Linked DNA regions of Xenopus tropicalis. The main gene of each other region encodes a partner of the protein of the gene in region 2 in a complex. Links are inferred from orthologs where the notes say so. Each region holds a gene or a part of one and is shown on either strand. Other genes may lie near its edges.

What was found. The genes of interacting proteins can lie anywhere in the genome.
Region 1: gtf2e2 (region 2) and ercc2 share a complex: the UniProt entries of both Homo sapiens proteins name them as parts of the TBP-based Pol II pre-initiation complex. The link is inferred for Xenopus tropicalis from reciprocal best matches to the Homo sapiens genes GTF2E2 and ERCC2.
Region 3: the proteins of gtf2e2 (region 2) and gtf2e1 are in contact, whole or in part, in a crystal structure (PDB 5GPY), measured with the Homo sapiens proteins. The link is inferred for Xenopus tropicalis from reciprocal best matches to the Homo sapiens genes GTF2E2 and GTF2E1. Residues at the interface, in NP_002086.1 of Homo sapiens: Asp159, Gln160, Arg161, Gly162, Leu163, Gly164, Gly165, Leu167, Leu190, Val192, Asn193, Arg194, Pro195, Ile200, Phe202, Cys208, Gln209, Phe210, Ser211, Val212, Asp213, Glu215, Phe216, Gln217, Leu219, Trp220, Arg221, Val223, Thr224, Val225; in NP_005504.2 of Homo sapiens: Arg16, Lys19, Tyr20, Val21, Arg23, Gly24, Phe25, Tyr26, Ile28, Glu29, Leu32, Arg39, Leu51, Leu52, Lys53, Phe54, Asp55, Gln58, Gly68, Asp69, Lys70, Phe71, Lys73, Thr98, Asn101, Val102, Val103, Lys104, Tyr105, Lys106.
Region 4: gtf2e2 (region 2) and polr2j share a complex: the UniProt entries of both Homo sapiens proteins name them as parts of the TBP-based Pol II pre-initiation complex. The link is inferred for Xenopus tropicalis from reciprocal best matches to the Homo sapiens genes GTF2E2 and POLR2J.

Annotation. Positions count from the first base shown.
Region 1 is NC_030684.2:70,774,520-70,779,490, reverse strand, and holds the start of ercc2 (TFIIH basal transcription factor complex helicase XPD subunit), read right to left. Parts: upstream 3,201-4,971; 5' UTR 3,072-3,200; coding exon 3,067-3,071; intron 2,357-3,066; coding exon 2,257-2,356; intron 1,597-2,256; coding exon 1,519-1,596; intron 1,449-1,518; coding exon 1,386-1,448; intron 1,251-1,385; coding exon 1,137-1,250; intron 1,044-1,136; coding exon 927-1,043; intron 140-926; coding exon 23-139; intron 1-22. UniProt on the Homo sapiens protein: ATP-dependent 5'-3' DNA helicase. Component of the general transcription and DNA repair factor IIH (TFIIH) core complex, not absolutely essential for minimal transcription in vitro.
Region 2 is NC_030677.2:83,811,430-83,815,588, forward strand, and holds the end of gtf2e2 (transcription initiation factor IIE subunit beta), read left to right. Parts: intron 1-2,037; coding exon 2,038-2,153; intron 2,154-2,543; coding exon 2,544-2,660; 3' UTR 2,661-3,325; downstream 3,326-4,159. UniProt on the Homo sapiens protein: Recruits TFIIH to the initiation complex and stimulates the RNA polymerase II C-terminal domain kinase and DNA-dependent ATPase activities of TFIIH. Both TFIIH and TFIIE are required for promoter clearance by RNA polymerase.
Region 3 is NC_030678.2:2,926,526-2,931,386, forward strand, and holds the start of gtf2e1 (general transcription factor IIE subunit 1), read left to right. Parts: upstream 1-1,661; 5' UTR 1,662-1,678; intron 1,679-2,989; 5' UTR 2,990-3,001; coding exon 3,002-3,449; intron 3,450-4,861. Other genes in the region: rabl3 (rab-like protein 3), read right to left, coding at 1-11, 1,217-1,262.
Region 4 is NC_030678.2:94,652,169-94,657,188, forward strand, and holds the start of polr2j (DNA-directed RNA polymerase II subunit RPB11-a), read right to left. Parts: upstream 3,201-5,020; 5' UTR 3,175-3,200; coding exon 3,122-3,174; intron 1,296-3,121; coding exon 1,206-1,295; intron 269-1,205; coding exon 94-268; intron 1-93. Other genes in the region: txlng (gamma-taxilin), read left to right, coding at 3,633-3,701. UniProt on the Homo sapiens protein: Core component of RNA polymerase II (Pol II), a DNA-dependent RNA polymerase which synthesizes mRNA precursors and many functional non-coding RNAs using the four ribonucleoside triphosphates as substrates.

The sequences.
Region 1 (4,971 bases), on a different chromosome or scaffold from region 2:
TGAGAAATATTCAGACACTCACAGCATGTCGGGCAAGGTAATAAGGACACCAGCCTTTTTGTCTACCCAAAGTCCTAAGGTCATCCAGATTGTAGATACCAGGAGGAAGGGGGGTCTCACGTCCAATTGCATCAAATTCCTTAAAAAAAAAAAAAAAAACAGGGTTAGTAGCAGAGTAATCACTTGATTTTCCAAAATAAGCCTTTCTGCCCCATCTTTATTTTGCTAAACATGATGTATGCTCACCTGGGGAAGGCAGATAGCTATGAAAGAGTTATGTTTTTTTTTACTTTTCAAGTGCTTTTTACAATCTATGCTCTGCTTTGGTCTAAACTTTGTGTAAAGTTTCCTCCTGCAGGCAACTTTGCCTGACTTGGGAAAACTGAAGTGATTTGTACTGTTGACGATGGAAATGCATTTTGGAGAGATTAGTCGCCCATGGTAGGAGAGATCTATTGCGGTCGACTAAATTTCTGCATGGGACAAAATGGCTGCTGCTTTCTTAAATAAACCATACCTGTTTACTCAGGTATGGTAAAGCAGCCTGCAAAATAAATATAAAGCTCTAGCTTGCACTTTTGTGACTAATCTATTGGCAATAAAATGCCTGAGTAGCTTTCCTTCTTCTTTAATAAGGTGATAAGGAAATCAGGCTCTGTACTAAGCAAAATTGGAGACTTTGGAGGAAGTGTTAGAGAGGAGAATGCTGTTGAACTATAGAAAATGTTTCTTTATCCCTACATGCTACACAACACTTAAAAGTTAAAATTGCAGTTAAGCTCACAGACAGTGTAGAATGTCTTCAACTTTTACCACAAGTACATGGAACTTGTAAGACCTTACACATTTATCCATGAATGTTATAAGTAAATATTTTGGCAAGTATTAAAATTTTTGGTTTGGAATTTCTTTTAATTGCCTCATACCTCAAAAAAACGACAGGTTTGTACAGTTGGGTCTCTCTGCTTCTGGGAACGGACAAAGGAAGCTGTCAAACTGTGACAACGACCATCTATCTCTTTGCCAAATCGCAAAGCACTGACCTGAAAAACAGAACATACAAAACTGGAGAGATACCCAAAATATCACTAAAGCCTAATAGAAGATGTCATTCAGATATGAAAATGCATTCTCACCTCTGGATTAACACAAAGATTACGTCTGGAGCTCAGAGCCAAAGCCATAAAATTGAGTGTGCCTCCAGTCTGTGCTTGAGTGTATTCAATTAGCTTTCTTAACTCCTCCACCACCTGTAAAAAGGTTGCTATATATTAGTTATAAAATAATCACTGGCTTTCAATAGTACTTCAGTGAAGAGTAGGTTAACTGTACTTAGCAAAGTAACTGTACTTAGCAAAGTAATTATTTAAACAGTCATTTCTAACCTTCTCTATTTCAGGAACAGTTCTGGAGCAGTATATTAACTTAGTGACTTCCAACGGGTAAGCCTGCAAAATACAATATGTGTAAGAAAGTGAAAGAAGGTGCAAGAAAAGAGAATAAGAAAAAATGTATTACCCTTTGGTAGGCCACAATAAGCGACAGGAGAGAAACTGTTTTCCCAGTCCCAGACGGCATCTCCAGAACACCGTGACCCTAGGAAACAGACAAGCAGTACTATATATTTAAATAGTGCACAAAAAAAAGAGATTAATGCAGGTCAAATATTCAAACACCATACTTATAAATGATTTTTCAAAAACATCCAATAGATTTACTGACAATAAAAAGATCCTCACCTTAATGGAATGTTTATATTTAGCACTATAAATAGAGTTTAAGAATAGAGACTATTTTGGGCAGAATGCAAGAATATGAAGAGACAAATAAAAACATTAACCTGAGAATGCAACATACTTCTGTAATACTAAAATCTCAGCTTCAATGTAAAGAAAAACAGAAAATACAAGGGCAACAAGGATGAGCAAGAGACAGGTGAGAACTAATAATAACACAAGAAAAAGGCAAAACTGGGGAGTAAAACTGTCAGCATTTAAAGCAGTCAGGTGACCAGCACCTAACACTTAAAGGAAGAAAAAATGAGAGCTAGACACACAGATAGAATGTAATGCTTAAAATAATGCTAGTCATGATCTTCAACAGAAATTCTAGGCCCAGACATGCACTAGAACAAGAAGTTATTTTTATAATCAACCATATAATAAGCCAGAAAAGTCAGATATCCATGAAAATCCAAGTGGTTGCTATTGACATAAGCATGCATTATTTTAGTCCACTGTTCAGGGCAATACTTACTTTGGCATCCAGGGTCCTCTTGAGCTCCAACATGTAGGAGTACTGTTCGGGATAGATGTACTCATAGGGAAAGTATACCAGTAACCCATCTATATTCAGCCTGGCAGAAAAGTAATACACACAGGTAAGCTATTTTGATTAAGAAGTAACAATATCCAACATTCTATGATATTATGCTCAATCTCCTCATTCTTAGCTATTTTAAAAGATCTATTTTATGCTTGCTGATGGATGTTGTCTTTCCAAACTTCCTTATCCACACCTAAACTCTGCCATTAGAGATTAGTTTGTCTCTGTGGAATTAAGTTAAAGAAGGAAATCTGAGGCTATTGCTGATGGATTTATACGAAATACTCTTTGGACCCAACAGAATCATGAGCCCCATATAGTTCAATCCCCTGTATATGCATGTATTTAGCTTATAAGAGGTCTATAATATATGTAACATTTAAAAAATGTAACCAAGCAAAAAAAACAGGCCAGATTTCTCCCACTGTTCCACTTTAGTCTTACTAAGGGACTCTAGAATTCAGTGCTGTAAATTTAGACAATTTCATAAAAGATAACCGATTCTTTTTATTACCGAGATTACGTGAGATTTTTATTCGAAATCCCACGATACCCTTATTTGCCGCAAAGGATCTAGACCCACATGACATGTCCTCCCCGACTTTCATTTACGATAGACTATCAGGAGTGGGTGCAAATATTAAAACATTAACTTCGGGAGCAGACAAAAGACAAACGTAAAGACCCATTTCCTTATACACAGCATGGAAAGCACGATTGCCAGTTCTGAGATTGACTCACTTCATTGCTGCTTGAAGCTCCGCTTTACCCTTTGTTCCTCCCGGTTACAGAAATAAACTTTATACCTCTTTTTCTCTCAGCTTTTACGGCTTGTTTATTATCTTTACATGCCACTACTTTATAATACAAAAACTACACTTCAGGAAAACCATAATGAACAAGGGAAACGTGGCCAATAGGAAAGCACGACCGGCGTCATGACGTAAATGGGTTGAGGTTTCTGTGCTGTCTCTCACTAAGGAAGGCAGAAGCAATCGAAAGATGATACGGAAAGGTAGATGTAGAGCGTAGGTGCCTGGTAGACCGGGCTATTTGATGAGGTTTAGATCTAGACTAGAGTCACTGTGGTGGGGCTTGGGGTGGTTGAGAACGTATTTTTCTTAAGTGGAAATGAATTGACCATGTGTGTGTGAGTTGTGCCAGAAGAAGCCTCCTCTCAGAGCCTCCATCTTTTTACACCATCCACACCCACTGCGCTCTCTCGTCTTAAACTTTCTATCTCGCTGCTCCTTACGTCTGGAACACTATCCCTGAATCCCTCCGTAGGGAACACTCACCCACTCTCTTTAAGAAAAAACTCAGCTGTTACCTTCTGGAGCACTAAAACATTATTTTGCCCAGTCCTGCGCTTAAGGGCAAATGCCCATACCTGATTGTATTTATTTATTATATCACTTGTCCTCCCTGTGTGTAATTTTGTATTCTGTAAGACTGTACAGCGCTGCGTACCCTTGTGGTGCTTTATAAATAAAGTTATACATACATACATACATACATGTCTGTCTGGTGTACTCGGGCGCACAATTACACAGAGATTGTAGTTATACAGTAGTATGTATGTATATCTTTATTCATAAAGTGCTACTTATGTACACAGCGCTGTACAGGGGTTATTAAGATAATAATGGATCAATCCAAAGTATAACAATAAAGTCCCTGCCCTGTAGAGCTTACAATCTAGATAGTAGTGTTTCTTTCAGGGCTGTGGAGTCGGAGTAGGAGGCAATTTTGGGTACCTGGAGTCAGAGTCGGAGTTGGCAAAAAATGAACCGACTCCGACTCCTACTAAATTTAAATGGGAATAAAAAAAAAAAAAAGCAAGTTTAAATGTCCCAATTCACAAACAGTCATAATTAATTACTTCTCTGCTATAAGAATAAAGCCCAATGCACGCAGTGCATAAATGAACACATTGAGTGACTATGAAGCTTTTCATTGACTGTATGCTTCACTAAATGGGATGTAACGCACAGTTAAGGTGCGGCAGCTCCACTGCGTCGTGTTCCTCTGTTACTGGGAACACAATGCCCACTGTGAACCTAGCCTAACTCTCACTGATAACTAATTAAGTAAAAAAAAATTGCAGGACTAGAAATACTTGTATACGTGAAGGGAATGGATAGTCAATAGTTTAAGACTGAAGCTTTAAAACATTTGAAAAACTGCTGTAATTCAGCTGCAATGTTAGCTTAAACTTTAAACATGACTATGGGATTCTAGGGAAATCAGTAGGAGTAGGAGTATAGATAAAATTGTCTATCAGTTTATTATCAGTTCAGTTGTGTTTTAAGTGCCCCTTCCTGGATGTATAAAATACATTAGCATATTAAAAACAGAGGAGTCGGAGTCGTGGAGTCGGAAGTATCAGAAACTGAGGAATCGGAGTCTGAGAATTTATCTACCGACTCTACAGCTCTACAGGCATCAGCGCATGTATGGAAAGCATTAAGCCAGCTGTAAGGAAGTGAATCTTTACCTAATTTGTCTGATAATTTGGCAGCGAGTCCAATTATAAAAATAAAACCTCTTGATCACTTGCCTAGAACATGAACTGAGAAGTGCGACTTATATTGTTGTGCCACCCACTGTAACCTGCAGCACGTTATACCTATTTGTGTCTATAAT
Region 2 (4,159 bases):
TACTACTGGGGAAAAATAGGGGGAAAATGTGACGGTGAACTGCCCCTATAATGTGATTGATAAGTTGCTTTTAATGATAGGAAACAAGTCATCACTAACATAATGGCTTTTTGTACATATCCTTTCTTTTGACATCTTTATAGTAAATTTGTTTTCTGTTATTTATTATAATTAGATTGATTATATATTAACTAGAGCTCACATGTTATATTAGTGCCTAGGGGAGCCTACAGTCAAATTTCATTGACATAAAGACTTAAATACAAATAAATAAAGTTGGCCATACACCGGCCGATTAAAACGATTATTGGTAGAATGGATAAACATAGGGCGTTTAGGAGGAGTGACAAGGTGACTGACAAATGAGACAGAAAATCCTACTTTGTGGCAATATACAGCCTGTTTATCATCCCCTTTAAATTATCATTTTATTCTATATAGATCACTTGTGGTGCAACAAATATGTTGCTTTTCACTCTCCAGCCAATGATATGTCTTTGAAGCTGTGTCTGGTACCGCTCCCTCTCCATTCATTCCAGATGAATAAGATCTGCAGTGCTCAAAGCCATAGTTCACTATTCATAGGAATGCAGTAGCACAGGGTTACCTGCTTTATCCCCTACGCACAGGGTGCAGTATATCAGAGATAAAACAGCCAACTGCTTAGGCCGATAACTTCACAAATGTATTTCATTTTAATGTTTAGGGGAAAATTCAGAGTGATATCAGAGAAGCTTGTCTCTTGCCCTTACTTCAGACAGAGTGGCTCCAGAGATCCTGCTTCCTTCGTTTGTTTAACAATGCTACATTGTGGCTGATAAATGCAATTTGAACAAGCTGCTTCTAGATCCTAATTTGTACACTTATTTCTAGTGATATGACAAAATGCGATGTGAAAATCTGAAATGCAAAATATTTTGATTTGCGTTTTTACCACCAATTTTATTTCAATGTAAAGTAATGCTGTTGCCAAGAAATGATTTTATGATACATTTGGACACCATCAGAAGTCATCAGCACTTAAACTAAACCACATAGTAGAGTTGATCAGCTGCTACAAGCACCCACACGCCAGTACTCGCTACCACCTATACCAGTGCACAAATGTTATACTTGTGCATGCCCATACATTTTATGATAGAGTGAGAAACTGGGGTTGTTTATATATTCGACTGGACACGTTAACTGCAGTTCTATTTTGGCAAATCAGGCTATCAGCTTACCAGCCTCTGATTCTTTTCTAAGGCCAATCACTTTCTAGCACTTCTGTCTCATATTGCTTGCCATTAGATATAATAGTAATCATGGTGATTAAAGCATCACCTCAGAATGCAGGCCTTCTAGTTTATAGGTCTTCTTGTGACATAAGCATATATTTGTATAATAGATAACCATAAAAAAATAACCATAACTTATTTATCAACTCCTACCGCTCTTGAGCTCAATCCATTATCTCTTCCTAAGTACCTCATCATCTTATCTCTAGTGTTGCTACCTTTTACTGTAATAGCAATATTGCCTTTACTTAAAAAAAAAAAAAAAAAAATATATATATATATATATATAATCTCCCACCCCCCAACACAAAAAAGCTGTGGTAAGCAATATTGCATACTTTATGTACATGTAAATGTATCTAAAATCTTATTTTTAAATTATGTGCTGCAAAACTCCATCAGCAATACAAATGAGTGCTAAGATGAGAAAAAGGTCATGAAACATCTGAATGACTCCTGCAAAGAGAGAGAAATTAATACCAGTCGGAATACTATATGAACCTTTTTAGATAAAATCCATGTTTTGTTGTGACTCCTACCTTTAGAAGCTGAATGGCACTGTTTTTCTCCATTGATCATAGGTGCTGTGGTGGGTCCCATTCATTATATCAGCTCAGCCCTTTTATGTAGGTGCATATAATGGGTTTTAATGATGGAGTGCAGAATGAACTAGGTGTAGCTCAGATGAGCTCAAAATCACCTGTGAATAAATACCTTAGTTGTCCTGCATGTGTTCTATTAAGAATTTACTTATTCTTAGAATTTCAGAAGTTATGGAGGAGTGTCCCAGTAGATTCCATGGACGATGAGAAGATTGAAGAATACCTAAAAAGGCAGGGAATTTCTTCAATGCAAGACTCTGGACCAAAGAAAATTGTAAGAGAGCCTTATAATTTGTGTAAAATACCTTTCAATCTGTCAATTTTTCTACAATAGGAATATTGTCCTTAATCCACACTTACATCCTTAGGTTAATGTCCCACGGGGAGATTAGTTGATTAATCTCTGCTACTGCAGGCCACTAATCTCCCTGAAAAGCCTTCCCAGTGGCAAGGAAACTTTGGGCGATTTAGAGATGTGTATGCCTTCCCATTGGTGGTTTACATTATTGCCAGTGGGAAGGCATGTCAGGGAGATTAGTTGCCCGCGGTAGCAGAGATTTGTTTTCTGGGTTGCAGTAGTTTTTATACTTGCCTTCGTGTTCCATAGTCTGTGCCTTGTTCTGCTATTTGCAGCGTTAACGCAATTTATTAATGCACATTTTAGATTCCAGTGCAGAAGAGGAAGAAAACTACTTCACAGAGAAGGAGGTTTAAGACTCATAACGACCACTTGGCGGGAGTGCTGAAAGATTATACAGATGGTGCTCCAGGCAAATCATAAAAGCATCAATTGGACTAAGGATGTTTACAGAGTATCTTCACTGCAGGATCTCCTTAGCTGCTCATCAACTCCAAACCTTGATAGTTACCTAATATTTCCCCTCACAGACTCAAAAATCCAGAATTACATTCTCTGGGTGTTAAAGAGACCATTTATTTCTGTCTTAGGAGTATTAAAGAATCAAATGTACTATACATTAGCTAAAAAAATATCCTAGAGCTGCCATGTCTCTGCCAGACACAGACCGATTGGCAGTTTGTGGAAGCCGAATATTGTGCTGGTTTTGCTCTGCTTAATTCTGTTCATTCTGATCCCCTTGTTGCTCAGATAAATATGTCTCCAGCATCTGATTTAATGAGTTTTGTGTTTATTGTATTTAAAGGGCAATTGTGCTATTTCAATAGCAAAAATAACTCTTTCTTTTGTTAGCCAACATAAAAACTTTTACGTACAAAATGGTTAAACCACTTTTTTTCTTTTGTTTTAATGTAATAAAGATTGTTTTCTTTTGAACCTTCTATAAACTTGTCTAAATTGGCACATACGTAATGTACCATAGCAAAAAGTGAACAGAAATGATATAAAGAACAGTGGTTCAAATTTGATTTTGCAAAATCCTGAATAATATATATTTTTAAAATAAATAGTTGCACACCTTTTTGGAAGTAAGAGTCAAGGAAGCAAATGGTACGTTAACATATTATGCTCTTTATGTAGTAAGTATTACAAGTCCTTTTGTCAAAGGGAATCGCCTTTACAAAGGACTTGGTTACGAAATGTTGGGGTTTCCGGGTATATTTGTATATATAATGTATATGTGTGTATGTGTAATTATATCAGTTGATGTTTGCTAAATCAAGGGTTCATACCCCCATATGAAACTAGTGCAACACCTTTAAGAAAATAAACAAATATGGGTTGCAGCTTTACAGACTGTGAAACTGCAACCTATTTTTATTTCTGTTAAGCTAAGTACCACTGTATCAGCATATGCCTGGACTTTTTAAATATATATATATATATATATATATATATATATATATATATATATGTATGTGTGTGTGTATATATGTATATATATATATATATGTATATGTATATATATATATATATATATATATATATATATATGTATATGTATATGTGTAAATTATTTTGTAAAATAACCAAGTCAGTAAGTCACTGTAATGACATCACTGAGCACCAATAATAACTGATGACATCACAAGTTATAAAGAGATATCTTAAGCCCTTATGTATTCCATAATATAGACATTGTTCCTCCCAGCAGTGTTGGTTTATATGCAGGGAAGGCCATCTCCCATAGATTCCATTATAATCAAATAATTAAAAAAATTTTCTCTGTAGTAATAAAACAGTGCCTTGTACTTCATCCCAACTAAGATATAAATAATCCTATTGGGTTTATTTAATTTTTTTATGACTTTTTAGTAGACTTAAGGCATGGTGATCCAAATTACAGAAAGACGACTCATCCG
Region 3 (4,861 bases), on a different chromosome or scaffold from region 2:
CTTTCCGACTCCTGCAAAGAGACAAACATGCAGCGGCCGTTATCACCCAATACACATTACATATAACTGGATATGCCCCCCGGGGGCAGCACAATATTCATTTCAGCCCAAGTGCAGAATAGCTGGGAGAGAGCAGCGGCACAAACTCCCCCTCTGGAACCCCATGTCGCTCCTAACCATTAGTACCCACTGCGTCCCTGGCACCACTCTAAACCCCTGTCCCACTCTCCTTGTGCCTCCTCTTTGTACCCCCAGCCCCTGTCTCCCTGGGACCCCTCTGTACCCCCAGCCCCTGTCTCCCCCCTGTCTCCCCTCTGTACCCCCAGCCCCTGTCTCCCCTCTGTACCCCCAGCCCCTGTCTCCCCTCTGTACCCCCAGCCCCTGTCTCCCCCCTGTCTCCCCTCTGTACCCCCAGCCCCTGTCTCCCCTCTGTACCCCCAGCCCCTGTCTCCCCTCTGTCTCCCCTCTGTACCCCCAGCCCCTGTCTCCCCTCTGTACCCCCAGCCCCTGTCTCCCCTCTGTACCCCCAGCCCCTGTCTCCCCTCTGTACCCCCAGCCCCTGTCTCCCTAGTACCCCCAGCCCCTGTCTCCCCTCTGTACCCCCAGCCCCTGTCTCCCCCCTGTACCCCCAGCCCCTGTCTCCCCTCTGTACCCCCAGCCCCTGTCTCCCCCCTGTACCCCAGCCCCTGTCTCCCCCCTGTACCCCAGCCCCTGTCTCCCCCCTGTACCCCAGCCCCTGTCTCCCCTCTGTACCCCCAGCCCCTGTCTCCCCCCTGTCTCCCCTCTGTACCCCCAGCCCCTGTCTCCCCTCTGTACCCCCAGCCCCTGTCTCCCCTCTGTACCCCCAGCCCCACATTCCTTTGGTCTTTTCAGAACAGCAAGTTCCGCTCCCTCTGTACCCCCAACTCCCACACCTGTACCCCCAACTCCCACACCTGTACCCCCAACTCCCACACCTGTACCCCCAATTCCCACACCTGTACCCCCAATTCCCACACCTGTACCCCCAACTCCCACACCTGTACCCCCAACTCCCACACCTGTACCCCCAATTCCCACACCTGTACCCCCAATTCCCACACCTGTACCCCCAACTCCCACACCTGTACCCCCAACTCCCACACCTGTACCCCCAATTCCCACACCTGTACCCCCAACTCCCACACCTGTACCCCAACTCCCACACTGACCGGGATTCCCCTTTACCCCTGCTCACCTGAATCCCCCAGAACCAGAACCTTCACTCTGTCCAGAGAAGCCATCTTACTCTGTCAGGCTTCTAGCCAATCCTGACACGTCTTCATTTCCGTAACTGCCGCCCCCTAGCAACCCAGCCTATGCAGCCAGCGGATTGGCGGCGCACCTAACACATGGGTTTTTGCTGCTCTGACTTCAGTTTTGTTATTGGCCGGCGGGAAAAACTACATTGCTGGCGGAAGTACAGACTTGGTTCTGCGTTTTACACTGACACGCAACGAAACGAAGCATTATGTGGCACAGTCGGCCATTTCTCTTTCTGGTGTCTCTCGGTGATAACATTGGTTTGTTACTGGCGGAAGTGACATAGTTATCCTTCACAAAGATGGCGGCCGCTACAGGAGACTAAGACGTTGATTGGATGCGCGGCGTGGACTTTTTACGTATCTGACCAGTGTGGTGGGAGCAGAATCTGTGTGAGGTGAGTGGTCCTCAAACTTCATTTTATTCATTAGTTTTATGTGAGTGGAACATACAGTGACCCGCCCTCTCCTCATTGGCCCCTGGGGGCCCCGTATATCTCTTTATTGTGTTGTATTTATGTTATTTATATATGAGGGACAGAAGGGCGCTTTGTGCCTATATGTTCCATTCTGTTATAACAAGGCTGCTGTGTGATGCTCAGTGCCAATGGGGTTAATGGGGGGGGGGGGTATAACTAAAGGTAATTGTACTGTAAGTGCCCATAGGAGGGAACATCTCTAACTGCTATTGGCTGGTTACATTGGCCAGCTGTGTATAGAGCATGGGGTACATGGGCCTTCGCTATGTGGGAGGAGCCACTGCAGGGTGTTGTTGTACTGCACCTCCCACTGCCGCTGTGTAGCGTTATTGCTTAGCTCAAGTGATAAGATGGACGCCAGGCGCTCTTGTGAACCAAAAATTGTCCAAGACAAGTTGTAGTAGCGCAGGGATAGATCAGTACTCACAAGTGCAGAAATAGCCGACACCTTGAGGTTAGTTAGAGAGGGTGCCGCCGGCTTATCCCACCTCTGTGGCAGACTGGGCAGGGTAAATGCAACTGTCAGCTCGGCACTATGGAGGGCAGTCTGGATAGTTAATCCAATCCTCAGGTTGAATACCTTTAGCTTGAAAGGGTCCCACAGCGACTGTATATCAGGGATTTACACTGACCTGTATCCTGTATCTTAACCGTGGCCCTAGGCTGAGGCAACAGTGCCTGTATGGAAGGTACTCCCAGCTAACCTCCTGGTTGGAGCCAGAACTGCTCTTACTATCTAGTTCTATCTGTCTCACTCTCCTAGAGAGTGCTATTACAGTATTCTGCTACTCTAGATAGTCCTCGTTCATGGGTACTCTAGGGCAGATGGCTTTACTGGGGCCTATTCTGATCCCAGGCTCAGTGGACCTTCAATCAACAATTTATTCAGTGAAATAAACAATCATTTATTGGCTCAAATTGATACAAAACAATTCAAAAAAGCACATCAGGTGCATCCCAGTGCCTCATGGTGCCCATACTCCACTCTCCTAGACCCTAAGATGAGTGGACCTTCAGCTGAGTCTCAGTGGCAGCCAAAGAGGAAGCCACACCCCCCTGCTAAACACTATATGAGAGTACAAGGGGTGTGGTCAACCCAAATAACCAATCAGGTATAAGTGCAAAGGATAAAATAGATACACAGGTATTTGCCCAGTAACTAGGAGTTTAAAGCCATAGGGGAGTTTAACCCTATGGGTCCCTACACATATATGTATTACTGTTCTTAAGGGCAGGGGCAAGATGACGGACCCAGATGTGGCTACAGAAGTCCCCGCCGTGCTGAAACGCCTGGCCAAGTACGTGGTACGTGGGTTCTACGGGCTGGAGCACGCTCTGGCGCTGGATATTCTCATCCGGAACCCCTGTGTGAAGGAAGACGACATGATGGAGCTGCTGAAGTTCGACCGGAAGCAACTGAGAGCCGTTCTCAACACTCTCAAGGGCGACAAATTCATCAAGTGCCGAATGCGCGTGGAGACCGCCACCGACGGGAAGACCACCAGGCACAACTACTACTTTATTAACTACAGGCTGCTGGTCAACGTGGTGAAGTACAAGCTGGACCACATGAGGCGCCGGATCGAGACCGACGAGAGAGATTCAACCAACAGAGCGTCTTTCAAGTGCCCAAACTGCTGCAGCACTTTCACTGACCTCGAGGCTAACCAGCTCTTCGACCCCATGACAGGTAAGTGGCCATTTGTGCTTCGTCTGCGCTGCTGTGTATGGGAACCCCCAAACAGTCATTTTATAGGAGCATTAGCCCTGGGACTCCTCCAGTTACATGGGAGTAGGAGAAACAATAGGTTAGCTGAAAGCAGTTCTAATGGGTAGCGCTGGCTGAAAGCTCAGACTCAGGCACAAGGCACTGAGATGGCGCCTACACACCAATATTACAGCTAAGTATGACCCCCATTTGAAAGTTACAAGGAGTTAGAAGGCTGCAAACAATTAAAAGACTATAAATGATGATCAATTGAAAAGTTGCTCAGAATTGTCTGTTCTATAACATACTAACAGTTAAATATATATATATAACAATATAGTATGGTAAAGCCATCCGGCCCTATACAGTGGGGGGGATAGTATCTCCATAGATCCTTCTGCCATAGGGATCGGTGCTTCCGTAGTCAGTAGCTGGGCAGTAGGTACATGGGGAGGGCAGTGACAGCTCCTTTGTGGGGGGAGACCACGTACCAGGCTGGGAGGTTGGGGCTGATTTAGTGGCACGGGGTATTTCTGGATTGTTTTGTTTATTGCAGACATGGTTTTTTTTTCTCCTATGTTGTTGTGGCGATATGCACCCACTGGCGATATGCACCCACTGGCGATATGCACCCACTGGCGATATGCACCCACTGGCGATATGCACCCACTGGCGATATGCACCCACTGGCGATATGCACCCACTGGCGATATGCACCCACTGGCGATATGCACCCACTGGCGATATGCACCCACTGGCGATATGCACCCACTGGCGATATGCACCCACTGGCGATATGCACCCACTGGCGATATGCACCCACTGGCGATATGCACCCACTGGCGATATGCACCCACTGGCGATATGCACCCACTGGCGATATGCACCCACTGGCGATATGCACCCACTGGCGATATGCACCCACTGCGGGCTCATTAGCAGGCCTCGTGCCGTGGGCTCGTATTTCTGGCATTTGGGTGACAAGTTGTCTCTTTAGTGTTTATAAAAATGAATCTTTAGCTTTCATTTGTTTCCTTTGTCTGTATGAGAGTGGCCACTAGAGGGAGCTGTGGGCTGGCAGAACATAATGGCCCAATACCTGGCACTGACGCTCCTTTTCTCTCCTGGGGGGACTGGAACAGGGAATTTATTTTATTTTGCAGTGAATGAGAGCTGTGTCTCTCCTGCTGCTTCTCTCTGAGCCCCAGCATACAGAACCCCCTCCTGCCCCCCTCCTGCCGCTTCTCTCTGAGCCCCAGCATACAGAACCCCCTCCTGCCCCCCTCCTGCTGCTTCTCTCTGAGCCCCAGCATACAGAACCCCCTCCTGCCCCCCTCCTGCCGCTTCTCTCTGAGCCCCAGCATACAGAACCCCCTCCTGCCCCCCTCCTGCTG
Region 4 (5,020 bases), on a different chromosome or scaffold from region 2:
AGAATTAAATGCTTAGCATTTTGTTCAAACATTTTGGGAAAAAATTTGGGGTTTTTTGAAAGCATAAACAGGAAAAATGGATTTTATACATACCCGAAATCTTTCCTCTAAAAGGGACAGCTCACTTATCAAGTCTGTGATTGCATTGGTAAATGCCTCTTGGGGGCTGTAGTCTGGTGTTGTCTGAACTCTTATGATAATTTTATGCTCAAGAGGATGTGGAACTTTGTAACCTGCAAATAACACCTGAGGATCCTTCAGCAGCTGTCTATAATAGAATAAGTTTACAAAGTCATACATTCTAACTTTTAGTATGTCATATAATGCCCTATTCCTGGCAACTTTACAATTGGTTTCCATTATTTATTTTTTTATATTTTTAATTGCCTTCCTCTTCTGTCTTTTTGCAACTTTAAAATTACCCCGGCAGTTAAAAACTACTTCTCTTTGAGGCTACAATTTTTAAAATTATTGCTACTTTCTATTACTTATATTTCTATGCACGCATTGTGGTCTTTTGTTCAATCCAATGCCTGGTTGCTATGGTAGATAAGACCCTAGCAACCAATTAGCTGCAGAAATACCAAACTGGAGAGCTGCTGAACAAAAAGATAAATAACTCAAAAAACATAAAAAATAGATAATAAAGACCAATTGCAAATTGTCAATGTCTACATCATACTAACATTAAAAGTAAAGGTAAACTATCCCTTTATCATATTAAGGGACAAGGAAATCCCCAGAATGAAAGATGTTTATCTTAAAGGTAGAACGCTATATTTTTCAGCAGAATGGCCATAGAAGCTCCCTTTGTTTACTGATTGACTACTGACAGCTAAAAGCTTAGAGAGCTGTAAAGCAGGAAGTAGAGTTCTGGCCATTATGTTAAACATCTGCCCACTCCAGCCCTAGATTACATTTTTGCCTAATTAACTACATTGAAAATATTTTTTATTTTGCTATCTATTTTGGCAGTTTTCATTTTTGCATATGTCATCCCACCGGCGATTTACATATTGGGGAGAATAGTAGCCCGCAACAAGGGAGATTTGTCGCGGGTGACTAATCTTCCCGTGTGCCACAGCACTAAGTGTGACATTTTTAACTCCCCCCCCCCCCCCCCGTAACTAGAGATATTTGTAACAGCTGGTTTGATAGTGCTACTCTGCCTTAATTAAAATAAAGTTAAAAAAATAAATACTTACGACTTAATGATATTTCCAATTGTATGATCTTCCTTGTTGATTGTAAACAAACAAGCATTAGGTACCTTGGTATCCTTAGTGATTGTTATCCTAAACATTAATGATTATTAGTTATATAGGCATTCAAGCTACATCATCATCACATGTGATCATATAAAAACAGTAAGAAAGAAAGAATACAAGCAGCTATACATTGAATGACAACTTGGTTATAAGTTGAACTGACCTGTCGAGCAAATGGTCTGATTTGGCAATCAACATAAAAAGAAGTGTCAAGAAGGAGCAGCACCTGTCACTTCCCTGGTGTATTGGTACCGGTAGAGTGGGCCATTATATGCTCCTGTGCAATGACTTATCAGCCTCCCTTCCTAAACCATTCACTTATGTGTGTTAAGGTGGCCATACACGGGCCGACTATAGCTGCCGATATCGGTCCCTTGGACCGATTCGGCAGCTAATCGGCCCGTGTATGGGGAGAGCAGATCGGCCTGGCCGACCGATATCTGGCCTGAAATTGGCCAGATCTCGATCGGCCAGGTTAGAAAATCTGGTCGGATCGGGGACCGCATCGGCTCGTTGGGGACCATTTAGGTAAAAAAAATAATAATCCGATCGTTTGGCCCTGGGGCCAGACGATCGGATTATGTGGGAGGCAATGGGGCAGTCGGATCGGGGACCGCATCAACGAGCCGATGCGGTCCCCGATCCGACCAGATTTTCTAACCTGGCCGATCGAGATCTGGCCAATTTCAGGCCAGATATCGGTCGGCCAGGCCGATCTGCTCTCCCCATACACGGGCCGATTAGCTGCCGAATCGGTCCAAGGGACCGATATCGGCAGCTATAGTCGGCCCGTGTATGGCCACCTTTAGAAATAAGACTTGACATAGAAGTACAGCTCCACCGCGATGTGTCAAACTTTGGGTAACATTAAAGCACCAATGTTGATATGTCCAGTCCATATGCATAGAACTATGGCAGAGTCACTAATATATAAAATATCTGTAACCTTGTATGAAATAAAGAGGGGAAAACAAGAAAATTACACCTCCAAGTTAAGACCTGAGTGGGCCTAACTGAAAAGATACAAACCCAACCTGGAAACCCACTACCCAAAGGCTTTATCTGTGGACACCATAAAACCTAAAGTGCCATCATCCAAGGCCATGGATAGGTGGCATGTGAAACAGAGAAGCCTATTGGGAGACTTGTGCCCTACTGATCTTCCCCATACTCATATCAGCAACTCCTATCCATCAGTTACCCATAAATAAGGTCAGATATTTAAAGAATGGAAAATAATATATGATAATAATAATAATGATATGGGGTTAATTGTTATCTCAACTAGTCTAATATTTGAAGCCAAACCTTGTCTGCAGTAATAACCGGGACCTAATCTCTAATAGACAGAAAGGATTTAGTGAGTTATGCAATTCCTCTTATACACAGGTTTATAGTCTGAAATGGAATAAAATCTAAAATAACAATAAAACTGATGGTATTATGTTTTAAAGTTGCCCAGACAACCAGACAGCATTTTCAATTGCAAGCTGGAAAGTGGCAGAATGAAAATGCTAATACTTTAAAGTAAACAACAACAAGTGGGCACCTTGAGAAAAGTTGCATGGAATAGGTACATTAATAACATACTAAAGATTAATTCATTTACTGTTAATTTATTTTTAATTGCCAACAGCAGGGCCAGTTTGTGTAAAACCGATCCACTGGATTTCACTGTCATTTCACCTTGGCTATGATAGCAGCTTGACTGTAATTTCCAGCAGGGAGCCTGTCCTGGGTTAATGTGACACTTGTGCAGCAGTCTTTCATCTATGGCTATGTCATATTGTGCTGGTTTTGGTGTTTCTTTAATTGGCTGTATAAAGGCCAATATGCCTGAATGAAATACTTACTTTTTTTCACCCTCGAACAGTAGAAAAGACTCAAACGCTGGTGGCGCGTTCATGATGCGAGAGGGAGTCCTTTCAGCTTCCCGGCTGCACTCAGCACTCTCACTGTCTTTTCGCCCGTTCTGATGACGTCACGACAATAGCAAATGGCGTCACTTCCCATGTTGAAGGTACTCTGCGTTTACATTGCATGCTGAAATACAAATTCTAGTCCGCGGTGGCCAGGTTCTACGTGGGCTCTTTCACTACTTTCAAAGGGAAAATAAATTTACATCGTCTAGTTACTTATGTGTAATATGGGTCCAACATATACAAATCATAAGCAGTTTTGAGCGCAATGAATAATATTAATACTCCGCCAGTGTCAAAAATGGCAGCTGGGCTGCTTCCTCAACCTCCCGTCACATGGACGCCGGCGGCGTCTCTGATTGGTGTGAAGGCTTCAGTGTGCTAAAGTAGCCCTGGGGTCGCTGGTGTTTGTCAGAGCGCGGCACTTACAGGAGTGCGTCACAGTATGTCGACTCTGGTTGAGAAGGGTTGCGCTGTATCGGAGGACGCGGGTAGGCTAGAAAAATTCGAGCAGGTAATGGCCAAGGAAGTCATGGTGCTTTACTGTCTTACGTGCGACAGTCCCGCGTCTGACAGACTTTGTGAGCACACGATGTCCATACCACCTGTCAGTCCACATTGAGTAGGAGCGATTGGGGTGATACAGTACAGTATCCATGTGTTTAATAGAGAATAGCTTCTGTTCGCCTCTTTTGGGCTACGGTTGTGTTCCTGGGAAGGAGTTTAGCTGTAACTGGAGTACAAGGTGTCCTAGCTCAGGTGTGTGTACTCCAACAGCTTGTTCATGGGGAACTCTGAGCCGGGATTAATCAGCTGGAATGGTGCACGTGTTGCAGTAATGACGTACCAGTGTATTCCCTAGCCCCATCCCATGTACCAGTGTATTCCCTAGCCTCATCCCATGTACCAGTGTATTCCCTAGCCTCATCCCATGTACCAGTGTATTCCCTAGCCTCATCCCGTGTACCAGTGTATTCCCTAGCCTCATCCCGTGTACCAGTGTATTCCCTAGCCTCATCCCGTGTACCAGTGTATTCCCTAGCCTCATCCCGTGTACCAGTGTATTCCCTAGCCTCATCCCATGTACCAGTGTATTCCCTAGCCTCATCCCATGTACCAGTGTATTCCCTAGCCCCATCCCATGTACCAGTGTATTCCCTAGCCCCATCCCATGTACCAGTGTATTCCCTAACCCCATCCCATGTACCAGTGTATTCCCTAGCCCCATCCCATGTACCAGTGTATTCCCTAGCCCCATCCCATGTACCAGTGTATTCCCTAACCCCATCCCATGTACCAGTGTTCCCTACCCATCCTGTACCAGTGTATTCCCTAACCCCATCCCATGTACCAGTGTATTCCCTAACCCCATCCCATGTACCAGTGTATTCCCTAACCCCATCCCATGTACCAGTGTATTCCCTAACCCCATCCCATGTACCAGTGTATTCCCTAACCCCATCCCATGTACCAGTGTATTCCCTACCCCATCCCATGTACCAGTGTATTCCCTAGCCCCATCCCATGTACCAGTGTATTCCCTAACCCCATCCCATGTACCAGTGTATTCCCTAGCCTCATCCCATGTACCAGTGTATTCCCTAACCCCATCCCATGTACCAGTGTATTCCCTAGCCTCATCCCATGTACCAGTGTATTCCCTAGCCTCATCCCATGTACCAGTGTATGCCCTAGCCTCATCCCATGTACCAGTGTATTCCCTAGCCCCATCCCATGTACCAGTGTATTCCCTAGCCTCATCCCATGTACCAGTGTATTCCCTAGCCTCATCCCATGTACCAGTGTATTCCCTAGCCCCATCCCGTGTACCAG